5 linked regions of the Callithrix jacchus genome follow. The protein of the gene in region 3 interacts with the protein of the main gene of each other region in a pairwise test. Links are inferred from orthologs where the notes say so. Each region holds a gene or a part of one and is shown on either strand. Other genes may lie near its edges. The genes, in order: SNX10, RAB1A, RABAC1, ZFYVE21 and TRIM32.

Region 1 (4,256 bases), on a different chromosome or scaffold from region 3:
ATATAATTAACAAATAAATAGTATTATCTAGGATTCTGTGATGCTGGGTACTTCAATGGGAAGCAACAAGACAAAACATTTTCTCACTCCCCAAAACCTAAATTTGTTCCCCTCTCCCTCCTTTCTTCTTCCTTCCTTTTTCATCTCCCAGCCTCTCTACATCTTTTCTCAGTCTCTGTTATACTCGGTTATTAAGTGTTCCTATTTGAAGAAATAGTTAAGTTTCCACAAGAGGCAATTTACAGTCTTCTGTAAGCAAAGAAAAGTAGCTGGGAATATTGTCTTCACACATACACACTAGGTTTTAGAGAATGCTGCTGTCATTCTGAGCACTACATTTGTGTTACAGTTACTGTGAGGACTCTGATATTTTTTTCTGAGCCTGTCCCAGAGAGAGCTCTTCCTTCTTTTTTTTTTTTTTAACCCTTCTTCCAGATTTTAAAATAATTCACTGCAGAACATTTTGGAAAAGTGTACAGGAAAAATAAAACTTGGGGATATTTCTTTTTAGTCTTTTTCTATACATATGTATATGTCATTTTTAGAAAACTGAGATCATATAGAATTTATAGTTTAATATCTCATTCTTCCAGATTAGTGTTCTAACACATTTCAAGAAATACTTCACCAGCTCTGTTTAAATTAGAAGTGGCTTAAAAAAAGAAAGAATTAGTAAGCATAAATTCATCTTCACATTTGTTTAGAAATGAAAAAAGAATACCTTTATAGTGGAGAAATCTGACAAATACTTCCTCAGCCAGGTGATCACTGTTAACACCCATGGTGATGCTACGTTGATAGCATGTGCCCTTGAAGTGATAAAAATGGCACTTTACCCTCTTAAATGGGTGGCCTTCCTTCCAAAAACCTATGACATCAATCTAATAATGAGAAAAGCATCAGATAAATCAGAGACATTCAGAGACATTCAGCAAAATACCTACCAGGGCTCCTCAAATTGTCAAGGTCATGAAAAACAAGGAATACCCTAGAAACTGTCACAGACAAGAGGAGCCCAAGGAAACACAATGACTAAATATAATGAATGTATCTTGGGTGGGATTATGGAACAGATCAATGACATTAGGTGAAAACTAAAGAAATCTTAATAAAATATGGACTTCAGTTAATAATAATGTCAATATTGATTAATGAATTGTGATAAATGCAGCATACTGATATAAAATGTTAATAATAGGAGAAGTTGAGTGTGGGGTATATAGGACCTCTCTGTACCATCTTCATAATTTCTGTATATCTAAAACTGTTTAAAATAAAAAAGTTTATTTAAAAACAAATATCATTGACATGTATATGCTCACATAAAAAGATTTCTGTAAGATTGTACAGTGAATAAACCAGTAAACAAAATATACACCTATATAAATACTCCCATCAGTGTTAAAAAATTGCATGAAGCTGGGTGTGGTGGTACATGTCTGTAACTCCAGCTACTTGGCCAATGCAGGAGGATCACTTGAGCCTAGAAGTTCGAGGCTACAGTGAGCAATCATGAATAGCCACTGCATTCCACCCTATGCAACGGAGTGAGACCTCGCCTCTTAAACCCCCGAAACAAAAAATACACAAGGTAAAGATGATAATATAATGGTAGAGATGAAAATATAATGAACCCCCATGTATATACCTACCACCCAGCTTCAGCAATTTACTAACGCATTATTAACTCATAGCCAAGCTATACCCCTCCCCCACCTATTTCCTCCTGCTACCACAGTAAATTATTTGGAAACAAATTCTAGATATTATATAATTTCATCTGTAAATATTTCAGTATACATTTCTAACAAATGACCTTTTAAAAAATGGACCACATTATCTCATGTTAAATAATTAAACAATTGCTTCATATCATCAAATATTCAGTGTTCAAATTACCTTGATTATTTTGAAAAAAAATTATATAGCTGGTTGTTCTAATTATCTATTTAATTAGGATTCAGATAAGGACCACACATTGCATTTGGTTGATAAGATTGTTTAAAGTCTTTAATTCTCTCTTTTCTCCCTTTTGCAGTTTATTTGTTGAAGAAATTAACATAGTTTGCCTTATAGAGATTTTCATATTTTAGATTTTGCTGATTGCATCCTTGTGGATGCCAATTATTTCTTGTTGCAAAAGACGAGTTTTTTTTTTTTATTTTAACTGCACTTTTCCTAATGTGTTATGAGATATGAAAAGGTAACTCTTGCTGATTTGGGATACTACTTGTGTAAAGAAACTTGCAACATCATGAACTGTTACAAGTCATGTAAAAGGCAGGTCTAGCTAAATCTCATTCACAGTTGTTTATCCTGAAGTAATAAAAAGCTTTTCAAAAAATCATCATTCAGTACCACCAGAGGATGGTATTTAAACATACTCCATGCTATAGAGTGGCAAGTAATATCACTTGTCATATGTCTTTTAAGTTATTTGTTACAGCTGTTTTAGGAAATAAAGGAAGGTTATTTGATATATTCATTCTGCCTTTCCATTGTTATTTGTAAAGAATATAGCATGTAAAATATGCCAGATTTTAGTTGTGAGATTGTTATATGGGGGTCCTGAATAGCACTCTGGTGATTAAGACATTGGTAAATTCTATAATCATTAGTTGTATAGAAAAGTACCTAGTGCATTGTTGGTGCACAATATATTTTAAGTGAATGAATGAATGAACGAATGAGTCTCCAGTTTAAATACATGAATCTTTAAAGCACTACTTTGAAGTAGAAAAAAAATGTCCCAAGAAGGAAGAACAAACTGAGACAAGTTTACATTTTTATGATAGAAAATTCTCATCAAAGCTATGAAAAATTAATATTCACTTAACACCTAGACATTCTGCTTTATTAGCTTCTGTCTTTTGTGATATTTCTGTAATCTAAGTAAATATTTTTACAGTTAACACCTACTCATTTTTACTCTGCTACAAAGATTCAAGCTAGGCTATGATGGGAAATTTTAAAAACACATCTATCACAATGGCTAAAATAAAAAATAGTGTGGATCCTCATAGAAACTGTAATAGGTATGTATGCTATATCACCGTGGGGTTAATTTGTATTTTCCTGGTGTTTAATGATATTAAACATCTTTCCACATGATTTTTGCCGTCTGTATGCCCTCTTTGGGTGAAATGTGTCTTCATGTCTTTTGCCTGTATTCTAAATTGAATTCTGTTTTTTAAATATTGAGTTTTTAGAGTGAGTGAATGAGTTTATTTTGAGACAGGGTCTGTCTGTTGCTGAGGCTGGAGTGCAGTGGCGTGATCTCGGCTCACTGCAACCTCCCACCCACCCACCAGGCTCAAGCAATTGAGTCCCACCTCAGCTTCCTGAGTAGCTGGGACTACAAGTACAAGCCACTCCACTCAGCTAATTTTTAAATAATTTTTAAATGTTTCATAGAGATGGGGTTTCACCATGTTGCCCAGGCTGGTCTTGAACTCCTGAGCTCAAGGGATACTCCCACCTTGGCCTCCCAAAGTGCTGGGATTACAAGAGAAAGCCACCTCATCGGTCTAAGAGGTTATTTAAATATATATATATATATATTCTAAATGCAAGTCCTTTGTGGGATGTGTAATTTGCAAATATTTCTTCCAATTTGTAATGTGCTTTTTTTTTAACCTTATTCATGGTGTCTTTTGCAGAGCAAAGATTTTTAGTTTGATGAAGCTTAATTGATTATCCTTCTGTGGATTGCCTTTTTGAGATCAAGTCTAAGCACTCTTCTCCTAGTACTAGACTGAACGGTTTTCTCTGAATTTTTTTTTCTAAACGTTTTCTCTGATGCTTTATGTTTGACATTTACATCTGTGGTTTATTTAGTGTTGGGTTTTGTATAAGGTGCAAGCTTTAGGTTGAGGTTCATCTCTTGACCTATGGATGTCCAGTTGCTGCATAATCGTTTGTTGAGAGGCTTTTTCTTCTCCACTGAATTTTTTTTTTTTTTGCGCCTTTGTCAAATGAGCATATTTGTGTTGGTCTGTCTCTGGGTTTTCTGTTCTGCATTTCACTGATCAACTGTGTCTTAACATTGGGAAGAAGGCTTCCTCCCACTTTATTCTTTTTCAGAAATTTTTTGGCTATTCTAAGACCTTTCCTTTTCTATATAAATTTTAATATAAGCCCATCTGTGTCTTTAAAAAATTCTTGCTGAGATTTTTTTGATAGGAATTATGTTAAACTTACAGATCAATTGGGGGAGAATTTATCTCTTTACTATGTTGAGTCTTCCAATTTATGAA
Region 2 (4,294 bases), on a different chromosome or scaffold from region 3:
TGGTGACGGTGTTCATTTCAGAAGCCAGCATGTGAAGTAACTCATATAACCTTTGAAAATTTATCAACTAAGGCCCACGGCAGAATTTGAGGGTTAAGGGGTGTAATTAGTGTATAGGTAGATATAAGTGCCTTCTTTCTATATTTTGGCGTTGTAGTAATTTAAAGTGATTCTGCAGTAAGTCTCAGGAGACAATTTTCTTAGTTCTTAGAAGCTGTAATATAAACTTTGGACAATGTATTATACTATGCCCTTTGTAATTAAATAACTCAAGATAATGTGTTAAAGTTTAGTGGAGATTTAAATTCCTGCGCTGATTAAAGAGAGCTGTTAAGACCACAGGTTTTTAAAAAATGAGTTAATAAATAATACCCTCAGAAATTGTAGGCATTATGTAGTGATGAATTGCATGTTTTTATTGTTTATTATTTTCCAATCTTGCAGAATGGCTCAGGATTAGTAACAACTGAAAATAAGACATTACAACTCAACTTGAAGGCTGGCACGAAGGGAGGACTTGGATTTTAGGCTGGCTCTGGGCTGTGTCCCTCCCGTCCATGGAATGTGGAGCCACTGAAGGTTGTGGGGTCATGGTAGAGGTGCTGTCTCAGAAAGATACATTCGATTGTGTGCGCAAATGGGCTGGGGCGGAGAAGAGAGAGGCAGAGCCCATTAGGAGACTACTGCAATATCCAGGCTGACGAGTTAAGACAGGGGCAGCAGTAAGAATAAGAAGAAATCAAAGAAAATGGTAGTGCGCGGGGCCAACAATGGACGATGACCGAACCAAGTTGGGGCTGGGTGAGAAGTGAAAGAACCGCTCCGGGTTGTCCAGGGAGCCCCTTGACTTCCCTTCTGTCCTTAGAGCGGACGTCCTCCGACTAGCCAGCCGGGTGGCGCAAGCCTCAAGCTGGTTAGGTCAGCAAAAGCCACACCGGGGGCCTGAGCCGCCACGCGTGTCCCCCGCCCCCGGCCCCCTCCCCGCCCTTGCACCCCGGCAGTCTCTCCGGTTTGACCACTCCCTCCGGTCCCCAACCTTCCCCGACCCCCAGCCTCCGTCGACCGCCGGCACCGCCCTCCGCCTCTCTCCGCCCCTCTCCGCCCCCTCCCGCGTGGGGCGCTTACTAGCCCAGCTGCCACGTCTCACTGCTGACATCACCAGGGCCGCTCGGCCTTAGCCAATCCGCCAGGGGGAGTCAGAGCGAAGTCCTAGCCAGCGAGTCAGAGGGGAGGGGAGCAAGGAGGGGCGGAGGGTGGGGAGGTGAGGGAGTGGGGAATAGGGCGGGCGACAACCCTTCAAGTACGCATGCTCCAAACGCGCGGCGCTTGGCGGGAAGCTGAGTCTTGGCCTCCGCTCCGCACCGTCTGTTTTCAGCTCGCGTATCCGCACTCGCGACTCCCATTCCCGGCATGCCAGGCGGTGCGGCCGCCCTCCGGCTGTGTAAAGGCTCCTTGGTCTAAGGCTTCCCTATTTCCTGGTTCGCCGGCAGCCATTTTGGGTGGAAGCGATAGCTGAGTGGCAGCGGCTGCTGATTGTGTTCTAGGGGACTGAGTGGGGGAAGACGTTTGCTCTCCCGGAACAGCCTATCTCATTCCTTTCCTTCGATTACCCGTGGCGCGGAGAGTCAGGGCGGCGGCTGCAGCAGCAAGGGCGGCGGTGGCGGCGGCGGCAGCTGCAGTGACATGTCCAGCATGAATCCCGAATAGTGAGTTCAGGAGAGCACCGGTCGGCTGGGTCCGTGGGCCAGCTTGAGGGATCTTAAAGGGGGCAAGGAGGGTTGGGGCGGAAGTCGGAGCCTCAGCTGGGTTGAGGCGAGGGTGATGGGTCAGGAGAGGCTGGCGGCCGGGAGCCGGGCCCCATTGTCTGACGCGGAGGGGCGGCCGGGCGGGGGAGGGGTCGGGCCGGAGGGGTGAGACGCCCGGGCCTGGACCAGGTCAGGTTGGAGGGCCTGAGTGTGGGGCGGGTGCTGAGGAACTGTGCGGAGGGTCCTGAGGCGGTGTGAAGGGTTAGCTTTTCCTGGAGGCAGTGACTTTTGAAGGAGGACTTGTTTCTGAGGGGAGGGGATGGCGTGGGAGAGCCCTCCTAGAGGGCACTGGCAGACCCTGCGCCCGCACTCTGCGGAACTGTCAGGATCCTCGGGGTGGAAACCAGCTTTACTTGCAAATCCTGAGCTTCTTGGCTCCCTCTCCTTCCATCCTCTCCGCCAGGTTTCAGGTAATATGGATGCTTTTCGGGACTGCTTGGGATTGAGGGGAATGAGTAGATGGTGAGAAGCGATTTTTAAGTTCTCTTTTTTGAGTTGTGTCTTGGAAGAGTTCTTTAAGAACTCGGCGGTTCCATTGCCCTCCTAAAAACCTGGGCACTTGTGAGAATTTTTTTTTTTTTTTTTAGAGGACACTTAAGTCATTTTGTCTTCTGTAGGTCAAGGAAAAAAAACACACAGCTAAAGCCAAGGAATGTTTTTCTGATACTACCAGATTAAAGGAACCCTGCTGTCAAGTTGAAAGAGAAACGAATGGGACCTATGATAGATCTGTATGTAGGTTTTGGATTACCTGCTTGAATGATTGCAGATAGGGAATGATAGGCAATGAGGTTCCATGACGTGTCATGAAAAGTTAATGCATTTCTTTTTCTTGCTTACTCAAGAAGTCACGACAGCAGATGTGACACACCTGGCACCTTTCCTGGGAACTGGTGTTCACTTCCCTTGGGTAGACTTTGTTGGCTCTCCTCAGTGGCCCTTTAAAAATTTCCTCTACAGTTTACATATATGTAAAGTAATGAGTAATTGGAAGAGATAGAATTGGTATTTCTTTTCAGTGTCAAAAGCCTTTGAGGGATGGGGGAAATGAGTATTTGTTGTAAAAGTTGAGTTTATTTGCTGCTTTGATCAATTACTGCTAAACATTTTCCCCTAAAAGGTCCACCCACCAGTTTAGCTGACTGTCATGTGTGTGTCACATGGCTCTTGCAAAATGCATTCTTCAAGTTTTGTAACACTGGCTTGATGCTGAAATCTTTTGCACTAAACTGAAACCATAGTATTTTATTAGAATTTTATGCTTTAGAAGTTGACGGTAGTGTTCTTGTAGTGACATATTTACTTTGTTGACAGTTAAAAAAATTTTTTTTTCAAGGGCTCCAAGGACACAGTTGGTTTTGCACAGGTGAACACAGTTGAACTTGAGGTTCTTAATTTAGTGGTTTTCTTGGTAACAGTAAAGAATATGGATTTACCGCTCTATCAAAGTTCATAAACCTGTACTGTTAAGGGCTTTTTCTGAATTTACTATATATATGTTTAGTACTGTAAATAGATATTCAAGATTAGTTGAGAACTTTGACAAGTTAGCCTCTGAATTTATTTCCCCTTTTGTTAAATAGAATAATTGGAATCATTATTCCTTTCAGGGTAGTGGTGAAATTCAAATGCATATAAAAGAATTAGGAAAACTATATGAGCATTCTTCAGGTAGTATGCGTAATTTTCATGAAAGGCGTTCTATTAGTGCTAAGATTTAGGAATATAATCTTTATGTTTAAGGAGTTTAGGAATATAGATAAACATTTTATGCATGTCAAATACCAGTAAATGCAGCAAATTCCAGATGTGTGTCGTTGATGAGAGCAACAAGATTTCGGGGATGGTGGGTTGTGATTAGCTATCTGGGTTTTGGAAGACTTTATAGAAAAGAGACCTGAAAGGAAATTATCAGCAGCAATTGGATTTGGAGGAACAGAGGGAGTGAGAAGGAATTTTCAAGGAGGAGAAGCAGGAATGGCTCATAGATGACAGGGATAGTAATTCTTGAGTAAATGTGGTATCACATCATCCTTTTCTTTTGAAGACTAGATTAATGACCTCAATGGAATCAAATCCAGAAATAGTTTTTATATTTTTTCTGGCATCAAATACATGAGTATCTGGCCTACTATATTTGTAGTCTATCTAGACTGTTGAGTAAAGTAAAACAGGAATTTGGGAAAACTTTTGCAAAAATGTTAGTGGAAATTAGGGTAAGAGGAAGTGAGGGATATTTTATTAGGGAAGGTTACAAGGGCAGCCAACAATCAGATTTTTAGCAATCTGACTTTAGCAGGTTTTTTTTTTTTTTTTTTTGAGACGGGGTTTCGCTCTTGTTACCCAGGCTGGAGTGCAATGTCTCGATCTTGGCTCACTGCAGCCTCCGCCTCCTGGGTTCAGGCAATTCTCCTCCTTCAGCCTCCTGAGTAGCTGGGATTACAGGCACACACCACCGTGCCCAGCTAATTTTTTGTATTTTTAGTAGA
Region 3 (3,939 bases):
CCCATAATATTTTACCTGTTTACCTTGTTGATCGTCTTGCCACACCCCAGGCTCCACGCCAACCCTGGTCTCTACACTATTTCCAGCATCATCCACAGAGACCCACAGAAGATGCTGGGGGAGTATTTGCTGAATGACACCTGTAACAGCTTTATTTTCAAAGGCAGATTCCCTCCCCGGACTTGTGATGGGGCAGCACTGTAGGCCCAAGCAGCAGCAGACCTGTGCAGGACAGGGATGGGTAGGGGTGGGGTGGCTGGCTGGGGAGGCCAGCAGGTCCCAGCAGCACCTCACACGGGTTCCATCTGCAGCTCCTCCCCGTCCATAGCCTCAATCTGGTGGAAGGCAGCATGGGAGCCGATGACTACCAGGGTGGCTCCTGCAGGAAAGCCGGCAGCTCAGGGCCACACTCCTGTGCCTGGCCCCACCATCCACCCCAGCCGCTCAGACCCTGTACTCACCCAGCACCCAGAAGACGGCCGAGCCAGCACCAGCCAGCCAGAAGAAGGGGAAGGATATGCCTCCAGCCAGAGCGTACTGATGGGCTGGGCTCACCTCTCGGCCTGGGGGCAGACGGCATTGGGGCGCTGTTCCCACCCTCCGTGCCCTCTCCCAGAGTAACCCCTGCTGTCCCCCAACAATCTATACAAGCTCCAGGACCTTGGGATTGAATCCAAACTCCTCTGCCAAGGCCCTCCAGTCCTGGGGTCACCCTGTTCCCCTGCTGTCCCAACTCCCCTCCAGAACACAGCACACCATCCTCACCTGCCTCAGCCCCACCCTCTGCCCTCTGGTCCACATCCTCTAGAAAGCTCCTGGGATCCCAGCTTCCTGCTCCCCAGACTACTCTGCTCTCCTGCTGCAACCCTCACGCAGACCAGGGGTCTCAAACTGGTGGTCCGGGGGCCAAATCTGACTGGTGGATGTGTTTTTTGAGATGTTTTGCAAGAATGTGATTTGTGGCTGGCAAAGTGAATGATTTCACATAAAAATACCAACTTCAGGCTTCTCACAGAAGTCTGGGAAATGGGGTCTGCATGCTGGTGACGGCGATGAGCTGAAGCCAAGTTGTGGCTGTGCTTCAGGTGCTCCCTCTACCCGACCCTCCTCCGCCCCAGCCTGTCATGCACATAACTTGCCGCAGGTCTACCTGACCATCCCATCCCAACTGTCCAACCTTACTCCAAACCTTGATTTTCCCCTGGGGGGATTTTTCCTGGCATTTTGTTTTCCCAGTGGTCCTTGGTACTAGTCTGGGAACCACATGAAACATACTCCTCAGTTTTCCTCTCTAAGTCCCAAGGTCTTTCTGGTCACATCCCAGAAAGCCAGAAAAGGGACGGGAACAAATCTAGACCGTGTAAGGTTGCCACCTGGTGTCCAGTGTGGGCACCTGCAGCTGATGCTTGCCGCAAAGAGCAGCGAGGGGAGGAGGGAGAGGGAAGGAGTCACGTGATTTGGAGAGAAGTAGGTTGAAGGCACAGCTGACAGGTGGAATCTGGGTTTGAGGAATTGCAATTTAGGGGGCCGAGATTCGGTGGGAGCATCTGTTTTGAGATGTTAAGGGATCAGGTTTGGGGGACCTAGTCTACATCTAGGCTTGGGCGGACTTGGGTTTTGAAGGACTTGGGTTTGGGCTCTGAGGTCTGTAATTCCAAGAGACCAGGATGTGAGGGACCAAGGATTCATATGGGCAGGGGATTTCTCACCAAAGAGCACAAGCTTGGACTGCAAGGTGCGCAGATAGAGAATGTAACAGGCGCCGAAAAAGACAGCCAGAGCCACCAGCAACATAGGGGATGTCACCCTGGAGGAGGAGTGCAGGGAGGCAGCAGTCAGGCAGCTGGGGCTAGGCCAGCCAGGGAGCCCTGGCCTTCTCCACCAGTGTGCGGCAAGCTACATCCTGGAGACCAGGGAGAGCCAGGTGACATTTAGTCACCCCGCATCCTGGCCAGGGTGATGGTGGAGTAGTGACCTGGCCCTTTGGTGACAAGGTAGGTCTAGCAGAGCCAACCCTTGGGGGCGGGGCCTGGCCGGTGAGAGGAGGGGCCTGGCCGGTGGGGGCGGGGCCTGGCCGGTGAGAGGAAGAACCGGAGGTGGCAGCGGGGCCTGAACCAGGAGAGGAGGGGTCTAGCCGGGGAGGGAGAGTGCAGATGTGGGGCCCGGAAGGCACTCACACGCAGTACAGGATAAGGCCCAAGAACACGAACACATAGTTGCTCTGGTAGTGCTCCACGTTGCGTACGAGGCGCTGGCACAGCTCGCCCAGGTTGCGGGGCCGTGAGAAGCGCTGCTGGTCCACGAAGGTCCCCCAGGGCCGGATGGTCGCCCGGCGCCGCTCCAGCCACTCCCGTCCTGCACCAGAGGGGATCAGCTTCGGCAGCAGGGTCCTGCGCGGGGCGGGGCCGGGTCAGTGGTGGACCGGAATGGAGGCCCAGATCCCCATAAGGGGCTAAGCCTGGACTCCCTCCCGGAACCCCAGACTCCTGGCCCATAGAGGGAAAGGGGGCTAAGGGCTCAGACTCCAGGGTCCCAGAAGAGGAGATCGGGGACCAAGACTTTGGCGTCTCGGGGCTGGGACTCCGGGCACTCAAGGGAGGAGAGGGTAGGGGGCCGGGACTCCGGGTGTCGGGTCCAAAGGGCTAGAGCCGGCTTGCTCACGTGGCGCTCAGCCCTTCTGCCTCGGCATCCTTCTGCTGGTCCTTCGGGGCTGCCATGTCTGCGTCGTGAGGGGTAGAGCTGCGGTAACTAGCCCGGTACCCTGCAGACCCTGCCGGCACCGCCTGAGTCCGGCCCCACCCTGCGGAGCCGACGTGGCGCCGCTCCGGAGCAGCTGGGGACGGTAGTTCTGTCGCCAGGCACTGTGGGAGTTGTAGTCTTAACGGTGGCTGGGAGGGTGGGCGCTATGATGGCGGCCTGACTCGCAGGACACTTTGGAAGATACAATCCCAGAAAGTGACGACGCGCGCCTCTGGGCATTGTGGGAGTTGTAGTTTTGGGAGGGCACAGGTGCGCTGTCAGGAGCGAGGGCGTTAAGGGAGCTCTAATGGCAGAAGCGGGCGTGTGTACTCTCCCGGGGAGGGCACAGTGGAGACCGTGCCGAGCTGTCGTTCTGACTCTAGAGGGCATAAAAAAACACCTGGAGGGCTTGCTAAAACACAGAATCCTGAGCCCCAGCCCAGATGTTCTCATTCAGCAAGTCTGGGGTGGAACCCATAATTTGCATTTCTGAGTTCCCAGGTGATGCTGATGCGGCTTGTCCATGGACCACATATTGAGTAGAAAGATTTAGATAATTTGTGGGAATTGATTTTTTCCTCAAGAGATTGAGGCTAGTGAGGGGGCCATGGTTGCTGGAAGGGTATCTGAGGTTGGCCCCTACCCCACCTCGTGGAGTCCCAAAGATGAATGAGTTGGGGCTAGGGACACCCCCCGTCGTCCCCCCCCCCACCATACACCTTTGGACAGGAGGAAGTGAAGTTGGGAAAGAGAAAGTATTGAGAAGTTTTAAAAGTGGGAGGTGTTATACCTAAAAGAGCTGTGATTCTGGATTCAGACTCAGGAGAAAATCCAGGCTGTGTGGCTGTGATCTAGTCACCTCCTTGAACTTCAGTATCTTCATCTGAACAGCGGGGATCCTAATGGTACCAGCTCACAGGGTTATGATGATTCAGTTAAATCCATGTGAAGTGCTTGAAAGACTCTAATTTTTAAAGAGACTTTATAATTGCTCAATAAATGATAGTCATTGTTATTGCCACTATATTATCCCAGATGTTATGATTATAATTTCTAGAGTTCAGCCTCCTGAAATTTAATAGGAACATGTTAGGGGCTGCTGGCCTTTTGGATGTCCCCAAAGATGGCTAGTGTCTGAGGCATGGGCCTTTCTTTTCCCTGGTTCTCCTAGCCATGGTTCTTTCTCAGTCTTTAAACAGA
Region 4 (3,991 bases), on a different chromosome or scaffold from region 3:
CTCTACTAAAAAGAAAAAAATAGCCGAGAACCGTGGGGGCACCTGCGGTCCCAGCTACTTGGGAGCCCAGGAGGTCAAGGCTGCACTGAGTGCCACTGCACTCCAGCCTGGGCGACAGAGCGAGACCCTGTTTCAAACAATAAAAATTCACGCCTTGTAATAAGAAATTAAAGGCAGGATAAACAAAGTCCCCCACCCTTTTGAGACGGAGTCTCCCTCTGTAGCCAAGGCTACAGGGCACGATAGATCTCGGCTCACCGCAACCTCCGCCTCCCAGGTCCCGGATCAAGCAATTCTCCTGCCTCAGCCTCCCAAGTAGCTGGGATTACAGGCAAGTGTCACCACGCCCAGCTAATTTTTGTATTTTTAGTAGAGACGGGGTTTCACCATGTTGGCCAGGCTGGTCTTGAACTTCTGACCTCGTGATCTGCCTGCCTCAGCCTCCCAGTGTTGGGATTACAGGCGTGAGCCACCGCGCCCGGCCTAAAGATTTTCTTTCCAAACGAAACCATTAAATAACTGTGTTCAGACATCTCCCACCTCGATGCCAGGCCAGCGCGGTCCCAGGCAGGCAAGCGAAGGCGCCCAAGGCCGGGGGCGCAGCCGCGGGCACACCTCGGCCTTCCGCCGTTCCGGGGACCCCCGAGCCCGCCTTCTCCAGGGAGGCGCCCTAACGCGACCCGGGCTGCAGCCTCAGGCCCTCCTGCTCCAACCAGCTCGGGCAGTGGAGACCCGCGGCCGCCCCTGCTCCTCGACCCTGCCACACCCCTCACGCCCGCGGCGACCAACGGTGTCCGACCCCACCGCCGCCCGGCCCCGCAGCTTGGCTCAGCGAGTCTCACCTACTGCGGGCCCCGCTCTCTTCTTCGCGCCGTCCCGCCCCTCTCAGCCTCCTCCTCCAATAGGCGCCGGAAGCCCTGAGAGGGCTACACCAATCAGAGACGAAGCGACACCGACGTGACTGAATAACTAGCCAATCCAAAGTCTCAATCCCACCGAGGTGGGCGGAGCATGCCCGGGCCAGCCCTCACCGCCGATTGGTCACCGACCGCAAGGTGGCAGGGGCGGTGCCCTTATGCGATAGGAGAGGGGGCGGAGTTCGAATTCCGATTGGTCCGCGCTCCGTGGCGGGCTTGGCGATTGGACGCCGGCGCTGTCAGCCGCGCGCGGGCCGGGGCGGGGCGGGCGTTGCCCCCGAGCTGGGCGAGGGGCCGTGTGCGGGGCCTCGGGCCGAGAGGTTGAGGCGGCGTCATGTCCTCCGAAGTGTCCGCGCGCCGCGACGCCAAGAAGCTGGTGCGTTCCCCCAGCGGCCTGCGCATGGTGCCCGAGCACCGCGCCTTCGGAAGCCCGTTCGGCCTGGAGGAGCCGCAGTGGGTCCCGGACAAAGAGGTGGGTGGCCGCCGACCCAGCCCGCGTCTCGGACCCGGCCCGCAGCCCTTGACCGGCCCCGCGGACTCCCAGGCTCCCGCGGCGCCCCCTCCGCCTCCGGGCGGCGCCTTCCCCAGCAGGCCCCCGCCTGGCGCTCCCCCAGGCTGGCCGCATTCCGGGGCCCCCGCCTCAGGCTCCTGCGCCCGCGGGGAGGTTGGGAGGCGCACGGGGTGTCGGTGCGGGGGTCCCGGTGCGAAGGTCCAGGGAGGGCGGGAGGGCCTGCACCTGCTCAGGGCGGGCGCCGGGAGGCGGGGTGCGGGGCTCCGGGCGCGGGCTGGCCCCGGGGGTCGGTTCGTGCTGGGCTAGCGGGTGTGGACTTCGTCCCGAGAGCCGGGGCTCGCTCCGGAGAAAGTGGAAGGCAGCGCGCGTTCCTCGCAAGCTCGGCGGGGAAGGCGCTTGTGGTCCGCGGAAGCGCTGGAGCCGGCGGCCCTGCAGGGGTCCCGCCCGGGAACCGGGAGAGGCGTCGGTGCCGCGGGCGGGTGCTGGGTTCCGAAGCCGCCTCCTGCTCAGAAGCCGGGCCGGGAGGAGAGCCAGGACCCACCCTGTGGGCCAGGCTGCCTCCCTTTCCCCTTCGTCTACACCGCCCTCCGCCTCGGAAGCGAGGCTGCAGTCGCCCACTGGAGAGTTTGGAGACCGCAGGTCTGCACCCGCTTCCCAGCGGCCCGGGCAGCGTGGGAGTTGCCCGAGTCACTCCTGCAGAAGTTGGGGCGTGGACGTGAGGTCCCTGAGCCAGCCAGGCCATCCCCTGGGGGTCCCATGGGGTTCCCCTTGACCTGATGGGAGGTGCCTTTGCCTCACCCCAGCTCCTCGGCCAGCTAGGAAGGCCTCGAGTGCATTTACTCTCCCTGGCTGTGCACTAACAAGTCTGTCCAGCTTATATTCTGCGGATTTTACCAGGATAAAAACTCTGAGAGAAAACTTTTGTAATATGACTTTCTTTTTTTTTTTTTTTTGAGACGAAGTCTCACTCTGTCTCCCAGGCTGGAGTGCAGTGGCACGATCTTGGCTCACTGCAACCTCCGCCTCCCAGGTTCAGGCCATTCTCCTGCCTCAGCCTCCTGAGTGGCTTCGATTACAGGCGCGCACCACCACACCCAGCTAATTTTTTTGTATTTTTAGTAGAGACGAGGTTTCACCATGTCGGTCAGGCTGGTCTCGAACTCCTGACCTCGTGATCCACCCTCCTTGGCCGCCCAAAGTGCTGGGATTACAGGTGTGAGCCACCTCGCCCGGCCTGTAACAGGACTTTCATACTTAACGCATGTTACAGATTCGTTTAATTCCCTCAGTGAGAGAACTAAGCAAATGTTGGAACCGGATTTAGGAAGTCAGAGCAGCACGAGTTGACCTGGGTTCCTTGAAGCTGGAACGGAGGCCTGGCGGGGAGGGCTGCCGCGGAGCCTCTGGGACAGGACAGAATTCCAGTGGCTGTGTGGAAGTGTGTCAGCGTCTACAGTGTACGGAGCCTTCCCCTGTCACCGAGGGGGTCCTGACGAGTCCAGTCCCCGGTATCGCCACCCTATGGAGTTTTTTAGACACTTTGCTCCAGTCATTCTCCTGTGACGTGTTTTTTAAAATGTTTTTTTTTTTTTTTTTTTTTTTCTTTTGAGATGGGGCGGTTTCACCATGTTTGTCAGGCTGGTCTTGAACTCCAGACCTCAGGTGATCCGCCTGCCTCAGCCTCCCAGAGTGTTGGGATTACAGGCGTAAGCCACTGCACCCGACCAAAATGTTTTTTTTTTTTTTTAATTTTTTTCTTTTTCCCCCACCACCCCCAAAATGTATTTTTAAATTGACAAGTGAAAGTCGTATGTATTTGTGGCGCTCACCCATGAGCTCTTAATGGCACAGAAATACTCCCCAGCTGTATGAACCGTGTGGGGCATGTGAGAGAGCGTGGCCAAGATGAGGCAGGGGTTCCCACTGAGGCAGTTTCTTTCTCCATAGCCTCCACCAGTGCTGATTTTAGGTTCTGGTTTTTAGTTACCTCTGTGTTCCCTCCTTCATTCCTCTTCCAGACCCTTCTGCCATCAGCTGAATTGTTTAGCACTTTTCCCCGGCCTTTCTTCGTGGCCTCTGTGGAGGTGCTGCGTGGAAGTCCCGCGGTGACTTCCTGCCCAGTGGAGTTGAAACACCTGAGTCAGGTGGCGCCCCTCCTGGAAGAGAAGATTCATTCCCACCTGTGGCGGCAGGATGTCTCTCCAGAGCCCCCCGCCCCCACCGTGTCTGGATGACGAATGGGGTTTTGAGCAGCCGAGGAAGGCCCTAGCGTTGGGTGGGCGTGGGGGACGGGAGGAACCATTCTAGTGAGTTGGACTTTGAGTTTTGTGTTTTGAATTTTATTGGAGCGTGGTCTTAGAGCCCAGAAGTGACCAAAGACAGTGTCCGGGGGGAGGAGAACGGGGCAGTGAGGACTGGAAGATGTGGAGAGGGCTCGAGGGAAACCGTAACTGTGACAGCCGCCGGCACGTGGCGGCGCTGCAGGGACACTGAGCTGCACTTCGTGGGCTGTGTGCTTGCGGCCACTGGGGTGATTGTGGGGAGGTGACTGAAATGTGCACAT
Region 5 (4,146 bases), on a different chromosome or scaffold from region 3:
GTAGCATAAGAAATTAGCAACAGAGTAAGGAGTTTAGACAGGGCTGACTGAATTCCCATGACATATTTTCTTTTAGGGATGTGCGCGGATGTTCCAGCTAAACCTTAGCAGTCAGATGCAGTCTAGCTTTGTTTCTGAACTGGCTTCAGCAACGCTGTAGCTAGTCCTGGAGATGATAGAGCCAATGCTATTATTTTGTTCCAGGGAAAAGCAGCCCAAAAGAGATCACACAGAACAGTGATTACTCTCCTTCAGAATATGAATGCCTTAAGCCTCAGTCCCTGCTATGAGGTGTTTTCTCAAGCCAACGGCCTCCATACCTCACCCCATAGTCTGTTGCACCTCATTCTGCCTGGTAACCTCAAACTCGTCTCCTTATCTAGCCCCTGGTCTTGGTCTAAGAGCAAACCAAGAACAAAGTCCAGGGCTCCTCCCTACCTAATCAGAGAGATTTACCTTCTCCGCCCCCCCACCCCCCCACCCCGCCACCCCGTCTTTGATAGTCACTGGGCAATCCTCTTTTTCATTAGAGGGGAATGGGCTGAGAAAATAAGACTAAGCAGGCCTTAGAAAGGAAGTAGCAAGGAAAAAGGGAATATACAGAGCTACAGAGATTTGGGTATGAGCTTATGTGTCATTCCTAGCTATGGAAACTTAGGCAAGTCACTTCCTAAGCCTTAGTTCCCTCGTGTAAAACTGAAAACAGCAGAGCCTACTTAGAAAGATACGAAAACTGAATAAAGAAGTAGATATAAGACTAAAAGTTACTAGATTTTGAGAACATACTATGTGCCAGATCCTAGGCATGCTAATTTATTTCACTAAATCCTCACAATTCTGTGACATAGGTCGTTATCATAACCCCATTTTACAGGTGAAGAGTCAAGGCACTGGGTGGTTAAGTAACTCATTCAAGGCCACAAAGTCAGGAAGAGACAGAGCTAGGGCTTGAACCCAGGATATCTGACTCTAGGGCAGAGTGCCTCAACTTTGGCAGTACTGACATTTTAGGCAGGATAATTCCTTACTGGGGAGCAGGGGCTTATCCCATGCATTATCAAATGTTTAACATTAACATAAAACATTAACATGTTTCATCTACCCACTTGAAGCCAGTAGTATTCCCCACCCTAACTGTGACAACCAAAAAACATCTCCAGACATTGCCTAATGTCTCCAAGGTGACAAAACCACCCCTGGTTAAGAACCACTTCTTTATAGTCTGGCACAGGACTAAATGCTCAATACATAAGGGTTCCCTTTTATTTTTGTCTCTCTCAGAGCCCAAACACCTCATTCACAGAGGCACCGCCCCTTCAAGCTGTAATGGATCTTAGATAGGATTAATTATTCCACTTATTCCCCTGGAGGTCTCACATTCTATCTGCTATCGCAGCTTGTGGGTACAAGGAAAAGGGGCTTAGGTAGATGACCTTGAATAGTTCCATTTCTTCTTCCCCAAAGCCCACCATTTTCAGTGGCCTGGGGGTGTCAGAGGGGAGTTAGTGGCAATACCATACCTGCCTCATGATAATGGATATTTGTTTAATAAATGAAGAAGATTCTGCCCTTCACAAGGATCACCACACTCCTTCAGGATCTCTGAACTGAAGATGTATCACTTCGTTCCTCAACACCTGAACTCTGCTCATCTTCATATACTCATCTATATCATACATTACTTTTAGGTCCTTGGGTCCCCTGAACTCCATCTGTCTCCCATGCAGCGATTTAAGGAAAATCTCTTCAGCAGTCCAAGACACCAGTCCACAAACCGACTCAGGGTTTTTTGATTCTATAGCCCAGTTAGGACATCTCTACCCTATGATTCAATCCTCTCCAAACCCTGTCCCCAACCCTCTTACAATACCAAATTCCAATCTCTGGCGCTGTATACTGCAACCCTCATCAATTCCTCACTCCTATGCCCCAAATCCCTCGGACATAGATCCTTTAATCCCTGTTTCCAAATCTCTGCTGCACTCAGCCCTGCACCTCAGTTCAACGGCCCAATTCCACACTTGATTTCTGCTCTCCCTCATTCTGAGCCCCCCATCTCCTGCATTCCATCAGGCACTGTGCCGCTCTCAAACCCTGTTCCTTCCTCTTACGCACTGAATGTCACATGCTGGCTTCACAGTTCAGCCAGGTCCCTTCTTTCTGCTAACAAGACAGAGTCCCTCAAGAACTCATCCCCATCCCCTCAATCTCACGCTCATCCCACTCCGAAAACCCTCTCTCACTAGCACTGAGGATCGACCTAGACCTTGCTCCTATCATCTCAGACCCTGTCCTTGCCAGATGCCTAGCGCCCCCAGATTCCCTTAAATCTCATCGGGGGTCCCCAGTTCCTTCATATTTCTGAAATTCTGCACCCAGGTCCCTCCAGGGCCCTGATTCCCTCCCATCTCCCACATGCTGCACCCCATTTCTCCTCTCGGCCCCCACATTACCTCATACCTCCCGAAATGCTTCAAACGCAAATCTCTTCAGAGCACCTCGCTCCCCTCCCCCAGCTGCATCTCCTCGGATCTCCTCAGCCCCATGAATCTCTCCCGAGCCTGCCCCTAGCAGCCCCACCCCCACCCCAGTCCTGCCCCTCAGATCCGGTCCACAGACTCTGCCATTCGGGCGCGGCCGCTGCTCGCCGGCACGGCCCTCCGCCCCGCTACTGTGCCACCGCCCACGACTCCGGCCGCGGTCCCTGGTCCCCAACCCTCCTTCCCGCCCCCTACCTGACCGCCCGCGGCTCCAACGAGTCCACCGCCGCCAGCCCACCCGCCTGCCGCCTTCTGCGCACGCGCCGCTGAGCGCCCCTTGCCGGGCGGCAACTCGCAGAGCTCCCTGTCAGTCATTGAGCCCCGCCCCCCGAGGCAAGCTGGGTCTTGTAGTGCCGCGGGGCCGGTCGGCCCTGCAGGGGTGAGCATTCCTCTGAGAACCCGGGGGCCTTAGCTACACGTAATCCAGTTTTCCGTCTCGTTGTGCAGATGAAGAAACCGAGGCCCACGGGCGAAAGGGACCTGCTCAAGTTCATTCAGTAAGTCAGGAGATAAGCCAGAACGCGTTTCTGACTCCAGTCCCAATGTCTACCCCTTACAAAGCCGTGGCTTCCAGGGTAGTCCTAATCAAAGCCTTGGCACCTCGCTGAGTCTCAGTTTTTCTATCAAAGAAATGGGCCAACGGTAGAATCAAACTTCCATCCTGGGGAAGTCGAGAACCGGGACTCCCTGGGAAGGGCAGTGCTTGGGCTCCATGTTCTGTGCTCTGACACAGAGCTGCGCTAGAGACAAGTTTATCCATGAACACATTGCTCTGTAAAGGAATGAATGTTTTGCCTACTCAGCTGGGAAGTCGACAGCAGACGCAGACGTGGGGAATACTGTCCCTGCAGACAGAGCTTCCCGGGAACCCACACCAAGTCTAGTTTTGGAGAGTCAGGGGTGAAGGTGGGGGAGTCTTACCGGGTGGGAAGTTGTCTGGCCTGAGATTTGAGGGAATCTGGGGCACTAGGCATCTGGCAAGGACGAGGTCTGATAGAGGACTGGCTGGCCATAACCTGCAGTCCCTGAGGTAGTTTGGGGACAATCGCATGCTCTCCAAGGTGACTATACTGCATAGCTTAGGAGCACAAAGGAGTTTGAAGTAGGATGGCCTTGGATTTGAAATTCCACTTAGCTATGCGACCCTTGCACAATGATAAAACCATGAACAAAAACAATAACTAACACCTTTGGATACTTGCTGTCTGGCTATAGCTAAGGACTTCAGGTGCGTGGCTCACTAAATCCTCCTAAGGACTTCATAAGATAAGGCAGCTGGTGGTTAACCTACACCTGTTGTGTAACCTAGGCGGTTACACAGCAAACCTGTGCCTGTTGGAGCCCTGATTTGTACCCGATTCTATCTGGGAACCCACTCTCTTAACCTTGTTTACTCTCTCTCCCCATTTTCTAAATTTCTAAATGAAGTTTGCTATGAAGATAAACCAAGATTATGGTAGTTTGCAGTTGGTAACTGTATTTGAAAAATTGTAATTAGCAAGTAGGGGATAAGGGAGAGGCGGTGCCAAATGCTTTCTCACTTATACTCCCTTCTTATACGAGTTAGGGAGACTTTGCATTCTTTTTTCCTGAAAACCACAGTTAT

Evidence for each region.
Region 1: the proteins of RABAC1 (region 3) and SNX10 interact in binary tests that used the Homo sapiens proteins (3 or more experiments, as listed by UniProt). The two-hybrid records come from large-scale screens. The link is inferred for Callithrix jacchus from reciprocal best matches to the Homo sapiens genes RABAC1 and SNX10.
Region 2: the proteins of RABAC1 (region 3) and RAB1A interact in a two-hybrid assay, tested with the Homo sapiens proteins (2 studies listed by BioGRID and IntAct). The link is inferred for Callithrix jacchus from reciprocal best matches to the Homo sapiens genes RABAC1 and RAB1A.
Region 4: the proteins of RABAC1 (region 3) and ZFYVE21 interact in binary tests that used the Homo sapiens proteins (3 or more experiments, as listed by UniProt). The two-hybrid records come from large-scale screens. The link is inferred for Callithrix jacchus from reciprocal best matches to the Homo sapiens genes RABAC1 and ZFYVE21.
Region 5: the proteins of RABAC1 (region 3) and TRIM32 interact in binary tests that used the Homo sapiens proteins (3 or more experiments, as listed by UniProt). The two-hybrid records come from large-scale screens. The link is inferred for Callithrix jacchus from reciprocal best matches to the Homo sapiens genes RABAC1 and TRIM32.

The regions. Positions count from the first base shown.
Region 1 is NC_133512.1:31,753,321-31,757,576, reverse strand, and holds the start of SNX10 (sorting nexin-10), read left to right. Parts: upstream 1-1,456; 5' UTR 1,457-1,537; coding exon 1,538-1,591; intron 1,592-4,256. UniProt on the Homo sapiens protein: Probable phosphoinositide-binding protein involved in protein sorting and membrane trafficking in endosomes. Plays a role in cilium biogenesis through regulation of the transport and the localization of proteins to the cilium.
Region 2 is NC_133515.1:48,813,305-48,817,598, forward strand, and holds the start of RAB1A (ras-related protein Rab-1A), read left to right. Parts: upstream 1-1,492; 5' UTR 1,493-1,683; coding exon 1,684-1,706; intron 1,707-4,294. UniProt on the Homo sapiens protein: The small GTPases Rab are key regulators of intracellular membrane trafficking, from the formation of transport vesicles to their fusion with membranes.
Region 3 is NC_133523.1:36,983,756-36,987,694, forward strand, and holds RABAC1 (prenylated Rab acceptor protein 1), read right to left. Parts: upstream 2,803-3,939; 5' UTR 2,718-2,802; coding exon 2,662-2,717; intron 2,391-2,661; coding exon 2,178-2,390; intron 1,808-2,177; coding exon 1,710-1,807; intron 564-1,709; coding exon 462-563; intron 380-461; coding exon 291-379; 3' UTR 126-290; downstream 1-125. UniProt on the Homo sapiens protein: General Rab protein regulator required for vesicle formation from the Golgi complex. May control vesicle docking and fusion by mediating the action of Rab GTPases to the SNARE complexes.
Region 4 is NC_133509.1:138,519,698-138,523,688, forward strand, and holds the start of ZFYVE21 (zinc finger FYVE domain-containing protein 21), read left to right. Parts: upstream 1-1,183; 5' UTR 1,184-1,251; coding exon 1,252-1,389; intron 1,390-3,924; exon of another isoform or gene 3,925-3,991. UniProt on the Homo sapiens protein: Plays a role in cell adhesion, and thereby in cell motility which requires repeated formation and disassembly of focal adhesions.
Region 5 is NC_133502.1:165,023,338-165,027,483, reverse strand, and holds the start of TRIM32 (E3 ubiquitin-protein ligase TRIM32), read right to left. Parts: upstream 2,806-4,146; 5' UTR 2,454-2,805; intron 1-2,453. UniProt on the Homo sapiens protein: E3 ubiquitin ligase that plays a role in various biological processes including neural stem cell differentiation, innate immunity, inflammatory resonse and autophagy.